3 linked regions of the Drosophila melanogaster genome follow. The gene in region 1 interacts genetically with each later gene. Each region holds a gene or a part of one and is shown in the gene's direction. Other genes may lie near its edges.

The links. A genetic interaction does not mean that the proteins touch.
Region 2: changes in Tsc1 (region 1) and AMPKalpha are lethal when combined (synthetic lethality), as found in Drosophila melanogaster (one study listed by BioGRID).
Region 3: changes in Tsc1 (region 1) and Pomp are lethal when combined (synthetic lethality), as found in Drosophila melanogaster (one study listed by BioGRID).

Annotation. Positions count from the first base shown.
Region 1 is NT_033777.3:24,128,322-24,135,158, forward strand, and holds Tsc1 (Tsc1), read left to right. Parts: upstream 1-1,985; 5' UTR 1,986-2,083; intron 2,084-2,174; 5' UTR 2,175-2,344; coding exon 2,345-2,438; intron 2,439-2,498; coding exon 2,499-2,755; intron 2,756-2,816; coding exon 2,817-5,127; intron 5,128-5,184; coding exon 5,185-5,342; intron 5,343-5,468; coding exon 5,469-5,598; intron 5,599-5,655; coding exon 5,656-6,008; 3' UTR 6,009-6,333; downstream 6,334-6,837. Other genes in the region: GatB (Glutamyl-tRNA amidotransferase, subunit B), read right to left, coding at 1-118, 178-301, 365-501, 571-995, 1,051-1,366, 1,431-1,544, 1,603-1,747, 1,801-1,862; Sec10 (secretory 10), read left to right, coding at 6,593-6,625, 6,686-6,837.
Region 2 is NC_004354.4:1,373,749-1,379,443, forward strand, and holds AMPKalpha (AMP-activated protein kinase alpha subunit), read left to right. Parts: upstream 1-1,787; 5' UTR 1,788-2,007; exon of another isoform or gene 2,008-2,121; 5' UTR 2,122-2,160; coding exon 2,161-2,439; intron 2,440-2,947; coding exon 2,948-4,417; 3' UTR 4,418-5,148; downstream 5,149-5,695. Other genes in the region: CG3719 (uncharacterized protein), read right to left, coding at 5,328-5,624.
Region 3 is NT_033779.5:20,785,822-20,789,645, forward strand, and holds Pomp (pomp), read left to right. Parts: upstream 1-1,834; 5' UTR 1,835-1,961; coding exon 1,962-1,964; intron 1,965-2,028; coding exon 2,029-2,294; intron 2,295-2,581; coding exon 2,582-2,717; 3' UTR 2,718-3,277; downstream 3,278-3,824. Other genes in the region: vari (varicose), read right to left, coding at 3,426-3,602, 3,765-3,824.

The DNA of each region.
Region 1 (6,837 bases):
TTGCCTTGCCTTTCTGGTACTGTTCGACTGCCTTGGCCTGGTTGGCGATAGCCAGCTGGCACAGGTTCTCGATCTCGTCCGGACTGCAGATTTGCTGCAGGCTGTGCAGTTCGATTAGCTGTGATGGGAAGATAATGTGTGTAATCTCATAAATTTGGAATATTAGGCGAAGCTTACCTCACTGACTTTCGCTTTGGGGTTATTATGAAGCAGATCAACCAGCTGACGTGCTGCCTGGAGATTTATCAGCTCGGCATGCAAGCTCATTAATATATCTTTCAAATCATCAGCCTTAATGGAGCTACATTAGGATGAACACAATAAATTAGTAAAATTCATTAGGTATGTTACTCCCTATTATTACCAATCCTCCACATCTAAGTTCAATTTGTTGCAATAGGTCAACAAATCGTTTATAAGAAAATTGCAAATGACTTTGTTGGGCAAATCACTTAAACTACGGGTAATGCTCAAGAAATGATCCAGCAGAATAGGTTCGTTCTGAAATAAAATCGAGGAGTGTTGCAATTTCAAATTTTTTGTTGACTCAAAAAGGATCAGAGCACGCACCACTAAAATGATGGCAGTTTCCGCATTCAGGTTGTGCTGCTCCACCAAACGTTGCCTGGTGTCCTCTGGTAATTCTGGAATTTCCTCGCTTAGAGCAGCCACTGAAAGTAAATCCTCTGTTGACATTGATCCAGGCTTTAGGTTTACATGAAGGGGTGGTAGATTCGGCTCCGGCATGAATCTGTAGTCCTGCAGCACCTCTTTGTCACGCATGGCCACTGTGCGCCGGTTCTCCGCATCCCAGTTGCGAGTCTCATTTGTAATTACACCGCCATTAGCCACAGTTTCTAGCTGTCTATTAATTTCATACGTAATTGCTTGCGAAATGCTTCGAACCGAGCCAATGTTTTTTACTTCGGTGCGGACTCCCAAGGGATCGCCTTCTTGGTGAATGGATATGTTGGCATCCACACGCAGGGCGCCCTCTACAATAAAAAATACTCGGTTTAAAAAAAGGCACACAAATCCCTTTTGACTCACCTTCCATTTTACAACTGCATGTCTGCAGACGCCTTAGTATCAGTATTAATTCCTTGACCAGCGATGCCGCTTCTTCGCCCGTTTCTAAATCTGGTGCAAAAACCAGCTCCATTAGAGGAAGTCCAGCACGATTAAGGTCAACCAGGCTCCTTTTGAGATAATCATCGTGCAGAGATTTACCACTATCCTGTTCCAATTGCAACTGCAGTAGTTTGGCGGTCTTGTAGTAAACTTTTTTGCCTGGTGTTATCACGGGGAAAGTCATTTTTCCATCATTGGCCAAAGCGGCGCGCTGCTGCGTGATTTGGTAGCCATTCTGGGGAGGAGAAGTTTATTACTTATAAGGCTTAGCGTGGTGTAAACTGAAATTTGAATCTTACAGGCAAATCTGCATAGAAGTAGTGCTTGCGGTCAAACATGGACACTTCGTTCACCCGACATCCCAAAGCAAGTGATGTCTTAATGCCGGATTCCACACATTTTCTGTTGAGAACCTAAAAGCAGAGGATACAATGTAATGATGGCGTCTTAAGTGAGAGTACCTATTCTCACTGGCAATGTTCCCGGTATGGAGGCATCAAAATACGCCACCGAAGAGTTAAGTGGTGCTCCAAAGGATGTGCCACTGCCGGAAAACAGTTTGGACGCACTGGCAATCTGTGCGTGCACCTCCAAACCCACAACGCTTTTCCATTTCCTGAAATTCAGAGCGTTGGAATGAATCCTTATAATATTAATTCACATAATTACCTTTTGGGAACGTTGGCTAGCTTTGGCGCCGTTACCAGTTTTCGGATTATTGAGTAATGCATTATTTTACATCGATTATAACATTCGCACCGGAATTGGCAAAAAGTTGCGCCAAAACAGCTGATGTTGTTTTGATTGCGGCCAAAGCTGCCGGACATTCGCCAGCGGCGTTGCCAGACAAAACCATCGATTGGCTGGCGATAACAGCGCAAGAGGAATATCACAAAAAAATAACCTTTTCATTTTCAAGACAAACATGTAAAAAAATATGAGTTTAGCAGAGGTAAGCATTTTAAATGTGCACTCCACAACCGAAACAATAGTGCAGTGCATCGAACGCAGTGGGAATTTCAATGCCAACCCTTGTTCTCCAGTTCACAGCGACCAAGACGAGAAAAAGCACACGCAGCTCTGCAAAAGACAACCACGACGACGAGTGAGTGGAGTAGAAGGACCAGGAGCGGAGTAGCAGGAGCAGGAACAGTCGACCGAGGGCGGGCGGAAAAATCAATCATAGCGACAGGAAACCAATAAAGCCGCCGTCATGGTGATTGAGAAGATCATTGGTGACCTGGAGTCCAACATGACGCTGGAGAACGAGGAGGCCAAGCGCAAGCTTGTGGAGTTGCTATCCCAGAGTGAGTCCTCGCCAGTTTCAGTTAATATGCCACCTATTCCAACATACCATTTCCCCACAGACAAGGAGCAGTGGGTGGTAAAGTTCATGCTGGACTACTTCTTTACAACTGGATCTCAGCGCATTTTGGAGGTACTGGTCAAAGCCCAGGCACCTCACGATGGGTACATCTTTGACAAGCTGGACGACTGCCTAAAGCAGTCGCAGCACCGAGTGCAGAGCCTCCAGGTGTTCTGCTTCATTGTGCGCCATCACCCTACTTGGCTGTACAAGATCGAGAAACACCGGCTGATCAAAAGTGTTTTTAAGCTTATGACGGTGAGTTTATGGGTGTTTACAATTTTGTCCGAGTTCAGCATCACTTCCATTTCTCTGACAGCACGAGAAGGAGATAGTTCCGCTGATGAGCGCCCTGTTGTGCATAATTACTCTGCTGCCGATCATACCGAATTCTGTGCCCAACTTTCTTAACGATCTGTTTGAGGTGTTCGGGCATTTGGCCTCGTGGAAGCTGCAGAATAGCAATAAACTGCCGGACGAGAAGCTCGTCCACCTGCAGTTGGGTCTACAGATGCTATTTCACCGCCTGTACGGCATGTATCCGTGCAGCTTTATTGCCTATTTAGTGGAGTTCATCAAGCGAGGCAACGGCGGGGGCATCTTCCAGCATACAATCAAGCCGCTGTTGAACACTGTGCGAGTGCATCCCATGCTGGTGACGGCCACGCCAGAGACTGAGGTAAACAATACGCGATGGAAGGAGATGGAGCCGCATGACGTGGTTATGGAGTGCGCCAACCTATCGCTGCCCGTCCTCTTGCCCGAGACGAGCAACGAAGACGGCAGCTATGCGTATCCCATGACGCCAGGATACAGTCGCATGACTTCAAATACCTCGAATACGGACTACAGCTATCAGCTGAGGGAGTTTCAGCAATCGAGAAATGTCTACACCCGCTTCGATTCGTTTGCCTCGGGTGATGATGTGGGTCCGATCTGGAGTCCGCATAACGAGATTGCCACGACCAGTAGCGGCATACCGCTTACACCCACCACATCGTTTATTTTGCCACTACAACCGGCTATGAACTCTCAGCTTATGGTTGGCATGACTGGCTCCTCACCGCCCGAAGCAGCTGTGGAGGCCACACCGGAAACCACCCCCTTAAAGGATATGAGGGATATCAAGCAGCCGGGACGTGCGGTCAATTCGCATGCTGTGAGAGCTATCTTCGCCGTAAGCCAGCCTTCTTCACCCATGCGCAAGGACCAGCAGAGTCAGTTCAGTTTCCCGGATGTCTCTCGCGAGGCGGAGGAGAGCAGCCACTCATATCTGGAGGTCAACAGAGGAACTGCCTATGACCGTCGCCTGTCGCAGGTCATCCAGGACAGGCATAACGTGGAGCGATCTGTAAACACACCTTGTCCAAGCAGCCTGCCAGAAATTAACTCCGATTTATCCCTTGTTGGTGGTTCCGTCTATCCATCTGTCACGCAGGAGGTCGCTGCAGTTTGTGGCGAGTGCAACGAGACGGATAGGAACCTCTGCAGTGTGGGTGGACTTCATATGCCCACCAGCCGATCCATGCACCAGCTGGCAAAGAAGCGCCGCAATCGTATGGCAAGCTACAGTGGAAATGGTTCCTGTGCGGACAGCAGAAGTTCGGCGGCAAAGAAGGCAAGTTGGAGTACTGAGGCAGAGAACCCAATGCGACGAACCAAATCCTGCTCGGCCCTTTCCGGAATGCGGCAGCAGCATCTGGAGGAGAATGATGACGAGGCCGATTGTTCGAGCCAAAGACAAAGAGGGGAGAATGGAAATACGCAAAAGACTGGCAGCCGCCTGCAGAGGAGCGGCCGGAACCTGGCCATTTCGGCGCCCAAGGATACGGCTAGAAGCTGCACCCATGCCTCCACCCAGACGGTGGAAGGACTGGACAGTGCTCCAGCGCAGTACGAGAATTGGCTTATTGAACTCCTGCTGGAGTGCAAGGAGCAAAGAATCGACTATGAAAGGAACCTTCTGTACCCGCAAGATATTCTAGACGAATACATTAAGCATGCGATCAAGGCCAATGAGTCCTTTGACGCCGAGCAGGGTCAACTGATGTGCCTACAGCTGGAATACGAAAGCTACCGTCGATCCATTCACGCAGAGCGCAATCGACGACTCATGGGGCGAAGCAGGGACAAGCGCAGCCTGGAAATGGAGCGGGATCGGTTAAGGGAGCAGCTTAAGAACTTCGATGCGAAGAACAAGGATCTGGCAAACAAAATGGATCAGGCCATTCGGTTGGCCAACGAGCGCCAGAACATCCACCAGGAGGAGCTGGGCGAAATGAGGGCTAAGTACCAGCACGAACTGGAGGAAAAGAAGTGCCTGCGGCAGGCAAACGATGACCTGCAGACGCGACTCACCAGCGAGTTGGCGCGCCACAAGGAGATGAACTATGAACTGGAGTCTCTGCGAGGTCAGGTCTTCAGTTTGGGAACCGAGCTTCAACACACCCAGCAGCAGGCGGACATTGGGCTGCAGTGCAAGCAGGAGCTGGCACGACTGGAGGCCGAGTTTATTATCATGGGTGAGGTGCAAGTGCGTTGCCGCGACCGTCTGGCTGAGATCGATAACTTCAGGGCCCGCGACGAGGAACTGCAGATGCTACAAGAGAGCAGCAACCTGGAACTGAAGGGTGCCTATTCATTGTTTATATGATACGGATGTTTAATCATTCAGTTTATTTATTAAGATCTGAGGCACAGCCTGGACGAGAAGACATCACAGCTGGAAAGCATGAAGCACAAGATCAGCGACCTGCAGGCCCAGCTAGCCAACAGCGAGAAGGCCATGACGGAGCAAAAGCGACTTCTAAGCACCGTCAAGGATGAGTACGAAGAAAAGTTTAAGGTAGGGCTGATATTTAAAATCGTATACTTATCTGAAATAGTTCGGACTTTTAAGAAATAGTCTGTGTTTACCAGTAACTTCATTTCAATTAAGAGTAATAAGCCTTAAAAATCGTCGTCCTTGCAGTCCGTGAACAAGAAGTATGACGTGCAAAAGAAGATAATTATGCAGATGGAGGAGAAGCTGATGATGATGATGCAGCAGCCGCAAGGAACAACAGGTCATAACACCTGTTCCCCGGACACGGACAGAACTGGTGAGTGCAAGAGCTGCTTCGCAGCTAAAGAATACTTACTATTGCATTCTCCCACAGACATAGCTTCATCCATTGAACGCAACTCACCGCTATCCACGTCGCTGGCCTCGAGCGAGAGCTTATCCGCCAGCCTACGCTCCACGGAGCTGAAGAACCTGCACCAGCTAGTGGACACGCCCACTATTCCGGATGTGCTGAACAGCATGGCCGGTGGCGCTCAGTTCGAGGACGAAGTGCGTCCGCCGGCCGTGGATCTGGCCTCCTCGGCAAGCACCGCCAGTGCCATCAACATCGTGCCGCACGCCTTGGACTTGCCGTCGACCTCCGGCGGCATCGGTCACACGCTCACCCACCCACATCCGCATCCGCACCTGCACCTGCAGCAACAGCAACAGGATCAACTGCAGTAGTAGCAGCAGACGCAGTTTGTAAAAACAAATAAGAACTAGCTTTCCTTCGCTAAACAAATGTCTATTGGGAAAACCCGCACAGAAAATTTACAAAAAAAAGTTATTGGTTCTTCATATTTTCATATTCAGTTCAAAACTGTAACTAAGGTTTAATAAATCGCTGACTCCACGCAATAATTATAAAGGTTATAAAAAATATTAATGTTTGAAATTTTAACTTGTTTAGCACATTGCAATTTGTTGTAAAAAAGTGGTTTTGATACGAGGCAATAAGTAAGACGCGCATTCATATTATAATAAACATTTGATTAAGATCAGCAAACATAAAAGCATTGTTTTATTTTATTTAATTGTAAACATACTATTTGTTATATAACAACCGCCAAACATTTAAATTTTAGCTAAGAGAGCAAACAAAAACGTAAACAAACCGAGCGACATTGCCAGCTGAAAGAAAGTGAGAAGTGTGGCAACCTTAAACGAAACAGCTGAGCGGAAGCAACAATAATATAGAAAGAAGAAGCAGAAAAGAAACGCCTATTAAATCAGATCATTTAAATACGAAAACTTAATAATACATTAAAATGCTATCCCAATACATGGAGGAGTTTGAACAGGTGGGCTCAAAGGTCACGTAGGCCCGATTATGGCTTATATTTATTAATCATAACCAACAGGAACCCTTTGAGGTGGGCGAGTTCATAGAGCGTCTGACTTGGCGCACCAACAATGAACTCCAGAACAGCGAGGACTTTCATCCTGTGGCCCTCCACGATACCTTCATCCAGACCATTAAGGACCTAAAGATCCTGCAGGAGAAGCAACAAAG
Region 2 (5,695 bases), on another chromosome or scaffold:
CTGGCCAGGAATAGCAAATCCAAGCATTGGCAGCAAGAGGCAAAGCAAAGGTGCACGGCAGACATAGGCAGTACCACAAGAACACTATCACAGAATTAAGCAGAGCAAATTAAAGATGCATAGCGTGTATTAAGATGTACGAAATAATGTTCCAAAGTTAACCAGCCTACACAATCCCCAACAACACACACACACACACACATAAAGACGGTCGGAGTCGAATCCTTGATCGAACCACATAAGAAAAAATTCCAATGAGTTTGTATGAGCAACATACAAAGCCCCAAACGCAAACCATCAGCCACTCAAGACGAGACGAGAACGCAACCAAAACTCAAATATAACTTTCCTGCACTCATCTCCAGTTCACGAAACAATCTTCGCTCTTGGTGGATTGCGAATTGTAAATGAATTGAGTAACTGCACGGATGCAAAGCCCCAAGATGTGGCGACTATTCCGGCCGGACACTGTGAGACGGACGTTACACACACGGATATATAGAGAGACGAACCTTATGACAACAGACAGAAGACGCTTGCTCTGAATAGATGGTTAATTTGTAGACTTATAAGGAACGTCGACAGCGAGGGTTCGTTCGCGTCACTTGCTTTTTACTACATTATAAATAAATTATTGATGTACTACCAACAAACCAAGAACAAGAACACCACACTATACAAACACCTATATATTAGATAATATATATGAATGATGTATAAATACCCGAACTTCGGGTAAACTTCCAACAGAAACCCGACAAGAAGATGGCTGAATATGAAATAAACTTGAAATTTTCCAACCAGCATACCCGTGAGACCCAGAGGTCCGAAATTTTTTTTTTTTAGTATTGATAATCTCTAAACGTAAATCCTAGTCTCGTAGCAATATCATAGTTAAGGTGACTTTTTTTTCAGAATAAACTTAAAGCACGAAAGAAATACATGTATTTAAACCTTAAATCCTAAAGTTTATAATAAACGAACACAAATTGAATTCTTGAGTCTGCGAGCGAGATGGTGCGATGCAGCCTCAGCGAAAGAGAGCGAGAGAGATGATACAGATTTGAGGTACAGTCAGCACAGTACAGTGCGGATCAGAGCTTAAGTTGACGATATACTATTGTTGTAAATTGATGTTAGGCTAAGCAAATAAATAGTTAAAATGTTCAATTTTCGCTTAGCTGAATCCTGATCGTCGTAAAAACGCATTTACACGAACATTATATACTAGTCATTAAGCGGTTCTATTTGACAGGTGAAAACAAGAAGCTGTGGCAGCCTTTTACTACAGAAACTAAAAAAGAAAAATACAAAGCTTGACATATACACGCATATTTGTGAACAAACTGAATTTTACCATACATCTTTGAGAATTTTAGGACAGTATTCTTGATAATCTATATTGAATGTTGATCTACACTTAACGTTGCACAAAAGAGGTATCTTTCTGACCTTCTATGCGCGTGGAGTGGATCCAAAAAATCAACTTGGTGTAATAAATGTGTATTTAAATCACAAAACGGGCATCTTTTCCCTTTCAATTGGACATCAGAGAGTTTCGACAACGCACACCTACTAGTTTTTTTGCGAGCTTAACTATTTCAAATGTGGTTGAGTAAAGCCATTAATATTGCTTTTTATAAATTCAGCATAAGTGGCAAGATGGTTTTAAATTGCGCGCCACTGCGGAACTACCTGGCATCACTGGCCGCCACTTATCGATAGCCACTGGAAGGCGAGAGAGAGAGAGAAAGAGAGGGCGCGAATCAGCTGCTGGAACGAGTGTTGTTGGAAGGCAGTGTTGTTGGAAGTGGCAGCGCCTTCCAATGTCAATTAAATAAGCAAAACGCGAAGAAAACCCAAGCGTAAAGGAGAGTCTCGTTGCCGCGCTCGAATAGAAATCCAGGAAATCAGTATCAATTCAACCGCCCTTGACACATCCACAACCACTTTGACATCCGAATCCGTATCCGGGCGAGGTGGCACGGCTGGCAGGAAGAACGTAACGTGAGTGGCTGCTCTATTCTATTCTATTCTGTTGATTCAGCGGAGTACACTACGCAATAACCGATAACGACCTTACCACCGCTCCCCTCTCCGCGCCCATCCGCAGCGGAGCAGTGGAGCACCCCCAGTCCAACAAGGAGCTACCTGCTCGAGATGCCCCAGATGAGGGCTGCGGCCGCTGAGGCGGTGGCCGCCGGCAGCGCCAATGGCCAGCCGCTGGTCAAGATTGGGCACTACCTACTGGGCGCAACCCTGGGAACGGGAACCTTCGGCAAGGTGAAGATCGGCGAGCACCAGATCACACGCGTCAAGGTGGCCGTCAAGATACTCAATCGTCAGAAGATCAAAAGCCTGGACGTCGTGGGCAAGATCCGGCGTGAGATCCAGAACCTAAAGCTCTTCCGCCATCCGCACATCATCAAGTTGTACCAGGTGAGTTCATGGCTCCAAGCTTAGACTTTCTAAGTCCAAGCTTTCCAGGAAACTGGGTTACTGGTTTCCTCTTCCAATTACGCTGGCCAGCTACTAATAACAAACAATCAAGCCGCAGTTTAATAAACAAAAAGGCAGGATATGCCCGAAGGGGGAATAGCTTTTCTATAACAACATTTTGGAGGTTTGTTTATCTATAAAGTACACGGTCATGCCTAGTCATCCGAATTTTGTTGCGGAAGGCAAATGCATATCTAGAAACTGGGCCACTGGCTAGACATTCGCAACAGACATAGAAGCCCAACTTAAATGAGCAAAAAGTTTGGAAGGAAAGTTTATAAAAGGAATATGTACGGGGTCTGCTTTGGTTTTACAAGCACATTTTCCCTCGATTTTCGGATTGGATCAGTTACCAATTAGGTTAGGCAGGGCTTGGGGGAACCTAGGGACGGCTGCAGTCATCAGCTGATATAAACGTGCTTGCTAACCTTTCCGTAACTCTCCGAAGGTCATATCGACGCCGTCGGACATCTTCATGATCATGGAGTACGTGAGCGGCGGGGAGCTGTTCGACTATATTGTGAAGCACGGCAAGCTGCAGGAGCACCAAGCGCGCCGCTTTTTTCAGCAGATTATCTCTGGCGTGGACTATTGCCACCGGCACATGATCGTGCATCGAGACCTGAAGCCAGAGAACCTGCTGCTCGACCACAACATGCACGTGAAGATCGCCGACTTTGGGCTCTCGAACATGATGCTGGACGGCGAGTTCCTGCGCACCTCGTGCGGCTCGCCCAACTACGCGGCGCCCGAGGTGATTTCCGGCAAGCTGTACGCCGGTCCCGAGGTGGACATCTGGTCGTGCGGCGTCATCCTGTACGCCCTGCTGTGCGGGACGCTGCCCTTTGACGACGAGCATGTGCCTACGCTGTTTCGCAAGATCAAGTCGGGCATTTTCCCCATTCCCGAGTACCTCAACAAACAAGTGGTCAATCTGGTCTGTCAGATGCTGCAAGTGGACCCGCTCAAGCGGGCCAACATCGAGGAAATCAAGAAGCACGAGTGGTTCCAAAAGGACCTCCCGGCCTACCTCTTCCCCTCGTCCATCGAGCAGGACTCCAATGTGATCGACACCTACGCTGTGGCAGAGGTCTGCACCAAGTTCGGCGTCAAGGAGACCGAGGTGCACAACTCGCTGCTCAGCGGCGATCCGCACGATCAGCTGGCCATCGCTTACCATCTGATCATCGACAACAAACGCTTCGCCGACGACGCGGCCAACCAAATAAACGAGATCAACAACTTCTTTGTGGCCGGCTCTCCACCACCGCCGCCGCCTCCGCCCGTTCCCCAATCATCGATGGACCACCAAGCCCCTCTGGCCACCGTGACCGTTGGCGGAGGTACCTCAGCCAGCTCGGGCACCGCCACACCAGTGCCACCAGTGGCTGGAGGCACGCCTAGCAGCACCATACCCATTCGACCGCATCCGGAGCGGATTGCGCCGATGCGGGACCGTCAACTGGCCATGTCCGTGCAGACATCTGGCGGCGGAGCCTTCCCGGAGAAAACCGCACGTGGCGGCACTCCCATCAAGCGCGCCAAGTGGCATCTGGGCATCCGGTCGCAGAGCAAGCCCAACGACATAATGCTCGAGGTATACCGAGCGATGAAGGCACTCAGCTACGAGTGGAAGATCATCAATCCGTACCACGTTCGGGTGCGCAGGCAGAACGTGAAGACCGGCAAGTTCTCGAAGATGTCACTGCAGCTGTACCAGGTGGACGCCAAGAGCTATCTGCTCGACTTCAAGTCGCTGACCAACGACGAGGTCGAGCAGGGCGACGACGTCATCATGGAGAGCCTTACTCCGCCGCCGCTTAGCGTGTCCGGGGTGATGCCGCTGCAGCCGACCGGCCACCACACCATGGAGTTTTTCGAAATGTGCGCCGCCCTGATCATTCAACTGGCTCGCTAAGGATGAGGTGACCGCCATCGGCCGCAGCGGACCGGATGGGATCTTCTCGGCTGGCGATCCGCACTCGGACAGTCCTGAGGATTGACCATTACCCGGAAGACACAGTCCCACAAAGGAAAGCTGGGGGGAGTTTCGGGCTCCGCGGATCCCGGAGTCTGGCCTTAACCACATGACTAAGTTCTTGCATTCGTCCCAAACCCTTTTGATTTTAATCGGAAACCCAATGTGCAATTATCGGTAGCAGGATTTGGGAATAGATTTTAAAAATGGCCTGCTACTAGACGACGAACAAGAGCTTGGGACTCCGACTCCAGCTTTTCTTTGTGCGGCTGTGTAATCCACATAAAATGTTATTGAACTCGGACACCGCCAACCGCCGTTGCCGCTACGCTACCGTTACCCGCTTTGCCGTATCGATTTCCGCTTCCGGTTAGTCTAAGTCTGTAGGTTCCGCCCGGTCGGCGGGCTTCGATCCGTTTCTGTTCTGTTCTGTTTCTATTTCGATTTATGTTTATAAGCAAGTTGAGTTATTATCCAAACCGCATGTGCACGTGGATGTATTTGTATTATGCCTAACGAATTGTAATTGGAACCTCGTCTGGGGAAGCTGTCAGATAACAACCAGATGTGGACCAAGTTTTATGTATCTGTATCTGAACCAACCAAACAATAAAGCGATCCATTAATATTCTAAATCGATTGTGGACGAAGTGTGAATTAAGAGTAGCCATAATTAAAGTTAGTTTTATTGCATATTAAGGTATGTTGTGCACATTCTTTCAGCATCGATGATTGCAAATTCTGCCTCGGCATTGGGCTTCATATCGCAGTTCCAGTCTCCCGTTTCGTGTGTAAAATCATAGCATCCCTGATCTAATCCACCTGTGCATCGCATCGCCGCTCCAGCTCACTACTGCTTCTGCTGTTGCTTCCGCTTCAGTTTGTCGATTAGGGTCTCGATGCTGTTGGCGTCGACCAGACCAATGAACTTGTCCACTACGACGCCGTTCCTGAAGGCCAGAACAGCGGGCACGGCCTTCACCTCGAAGGTCTCGACGAGATCCAGGTTCGTCTCCACATCGATGACCGCCAGGTCGATCTCGTTCGAGTTCTCAAGCAGCTCGAGCATCTTGGGCGTGAGTATCTTACAGGGGTCGCACCACTCGGCGTGGAAGTTCACGATCACCGGGTTGTCGCTGTTGATCACCTGCGGAACAAGGCATAATACATAGGTGGTGGTTGAACAGACTTTAAAATTGGAGTGCTTTGCTCGGAACT
Region 3 (3,824 bases), on another chromosome or scaffold:
TTGTACTTCAATTTAAAGAAATCATCTATTGATCATCTTTTGGAATCTCTTGCTTTTACCCATTAATTTCTCTGAGTGCGTATAAAATAGAAGAGAAATATCAGCCCAATCAAGCTGTTTTAAAAGGAATTCCCTCATCTGAAGAGTCCCCTAGTTGAACCCACGACTCTTCTCTTTTTTGAATACACATCTTCGACTTTTATGCATTTATTGCTGTGAAAAAATGTTAATTCTCGACGTTATATTTTTATTTGACTTTTACATATCGATCTTCTCGCCCTGAGATCTCCATCTCCATTCGACCATACATAGTTGGCTCTTGGCCATCCTTATGGCCATATATTGGACTGACTGAATTGGTTGATTCGCCTCGTACTGGTCTACTGTGTATTAATTGGTCAAAGGCAGTAAAACAGAAAGTAAACGTTATAAATCAATCGTGGTATGAGTTCTTTTGAACTCTTCAAGCGGCAAAATTCACAGGGAACTGAAATGATTGTATTAACAAATAAGTCAAAGGAACGATGCTAGTAAGCTAAAATCGATGCGAGTAATTTGTGTTTATTCTAACTTAATTTATTTATAGACTTATAGATTAAATCACCATAAGTTGCATCCGAAAGAATCGCATCTCAAAGTAATAAAAACTAACGATATTTTTATCAACTCGACGCCATAAATATGCCCGTTGCGATATTCTTATTGTAAATTCTCGAATTGTCTGCTGATTAAATTTACTTATCATTTTGTCAGTTTCTTAATATAGAATTCATTCATTAAAAATAGGGCTGATCTTTTAAATTATCTAATACGTTTTTGTATCAATACTATAGCTATACATGCTATAAACTATTTGACTTTGTATTGCAATGCTCATCCATACCAATATTAAAATGATTAAAGTTGTAAATTACAAAGCAGGAATGTAGTTCGCTTTTTTCGCACTGTAAAATTCAGTAAATGGGCATAAATCATAATTTACGTACTACCTTTTAGTCTAAAGTGAAGGTGAAGATCCATCCATCCGGTTGATGTTTCCATTTGGATTTTCAAGTTCAGATTGGATAGGATCGGATCGGTTGGCCGGAGACAGTTTGGGCTATTGTGTGCGGGAGTTTGATTAACACAACATCCACTGGCCGAATCTTTATTAGTGACCATGCACTAATTAAGCCCTGTCGTGTGATTTGGTCTCCTCGCATTCGCATTCGTTCGCGTTTGTCACTCGATGCAAATGAATCGCGTCTCTGTGGAGCAGAAGATCATAAAAGCCGCTAAAAGGTGTGGGTGAAAAGAAAAACAAAACCCCGGCCAGCCAGCCAGCGGATTCAGTTCTTTTGTTGATCGAATTGATTAGAGCTGCGGCCGAGATCGATACGTTTGTATATTTCGGATGTGCGTTGCTGGCCAGCGAGGGTGTAATTAATCACAACACTCAAGTTCGTCACTTGACCGAAGTGTTAAGTGCGCTAATAACGCCAATTTGCATAGACCGACTTTTACCCATCAACACGATTACAATTAAAGTGTATTTCAAATAGTGCTGCGTTGTTGCTATATATATAGAAATATTTTGTTTAAATAATCAAATTGGATTGGAAAATTTGGAGTTCATAATTTCAAATCGAAATTCACTTGTCGGACATGCCGCATTTTTGTACCCTGCAATGGTTTGAAACCGAGCTAAAATTTATGTGGGTCAAAATGGATTGAATCCATGTTAGCATTGTCTGGAGCTGCCATCCTGATTTCTACACATGTAAAGAGTTGCCAGTCTGGTTTCTACACTACTGGATTCTATTCTAGTCGATAAGTTGCTTTCTATTCGATTATCTTGTCAATTATCGTCGATATCGAGTAGGCATCGACACAAGTACCAGCTCTAATTCGCACGGAATTTGTTTGTCATTCAAGAAACAATTATAATTCGCCGCATTTTTATTCTAAAAGCGCTTACGAATATGGTAAGTACCTCGCCGAGTGCATTTAGTAGAGCCGCTAACGAAACGAAAACCCCTCGCAATACAGTATCAGCCATCACTGAAAGTCCAGCCCGCCGAGGTGTCCGTGCTGAACGCCACCGGCCGTGTGGGAATGCCCACCGAGGCCAACTGCCTGAACCAACTGGCCCACGTCCACCGGCTGCGCGACTCGGAGCTGAACTACAACGAGCACCAGTACAACCGCAACATGCAGATGCTGCGCAACCACGAGGGCCTCGGCGTGCCCCTCAAGATGGGCATGGAGCGCTTCGCCGCACGTCAGGTGGGCCGCCTGCCCTTCCTTTCGTCCAGGTGAGCATCTAGCCCGGTCTGGGAGCTTCTCAGTCTGGACAGGAATCTCTGCAAGGGCGGAAGCATTCAGAAATCTTCTGTTTCCACATTATAAGAATCCCGGAGAAACCTGAGATATCCTACAATCTAGAAAATCTAAACTTCTTGCCTAATAATGGATACCTATATACGTACATACATACATACGTGTATACCAAGTATACCTGTGATTCCCATAGTACCATTATTACCGAAAACCCAGCAATGACTACTTATCTTCTATATTAATTCTTTCCTTTATATTGCAGCAACTTCATGGACGATGTCCTGACTGGCCGCTGTGATTCCATTGGCTTCGAGGACTTCATGAACTTGCCCGAGAACAGCGAGCATATGCGTCAGCCCCACGCTGTGGTGGAGAAATCTCTGGGAATTTACCAATAAGTCCCTGCAAATGAAGTTGCTAAATGCCTGGCATTCAGCCTTTAAACTCTAAGACACTCTTAAGATCAGCAAATAAAATATATTTTGGTGCGACCAGCTAGAGGTAAACAAAATTCACCATTTCTTTGAGCCAAATTTATTCGTATTTCGTTTGTTTAACTCCACATCAATACATTTAACTAGTTCGTTAAACTTACACATTTTATTCAAACAAATCTAAAAACTACACGAAAATATTGGCAGAAGGTTGTTGTACTGAGGAGATTCGTTAAAATAATAAACTGAAGAGATATGCGTTGACATCATTCATTATTTGTAAAAATAAAACAAGAGATGGTAAAATGGACGAATTCGTTTCGTAAAATTAGGCTTATACTTAAGGAAAACTGAATTGTAAACGGAGGGCGCATTTCAACTTATACAAACATTGCATATATACATGATTTATATTTAAAGAGGAAAATGACAGTAATTGAGATAAACATAGTTAATAAAACGCATTACATTCCTCAAGCAAAACACGTCTAATCAACAATAAATATTGAAATCGCTAGCGTTTTAAATGCTCTTCGCTAAATTTGTATTGTGTTGCGAGTTTAAGCTTCAATTACTGGAATTATCCCTTTAATTGTGATGATAGGCATTCGATTTTTATAGTATATATTCTTCAATATGCATAAAGGCGCAATTGCAAAGGGTCATGGGATTCTAGTAGATCCAGTTGACAGGCACCCACTGCTCCTCGTGGCTCATCTGATCCAGCGTTTCCACCACCTGGCGGAACGTCTCATCGAAGTCCTCGTTCACGATGACCATGTCGAAGTATTTCTCATACTTGCGCTGGACGAAGCTGCTCTCCTCGACGGTGGCGACAAGGTCGTCGTCCTGTTCGGAAAAGTCATAGAAAGCGAATGTGTTAAGCAATGTTTGGGTATTCAGGCAGAGATCTAACAGGGCTACTAGGGTGGCCTAGGTGCGCCAAGCGGATGATTGAGTTGAGCACAATTTATACGACACTGTAATTAAGGATAGGTCAGGGCACATTACCTCATACAACGACGCTAGGGACTCGAGCGTACGGGCGCGTCTGGAGCTGAATCTTATGGA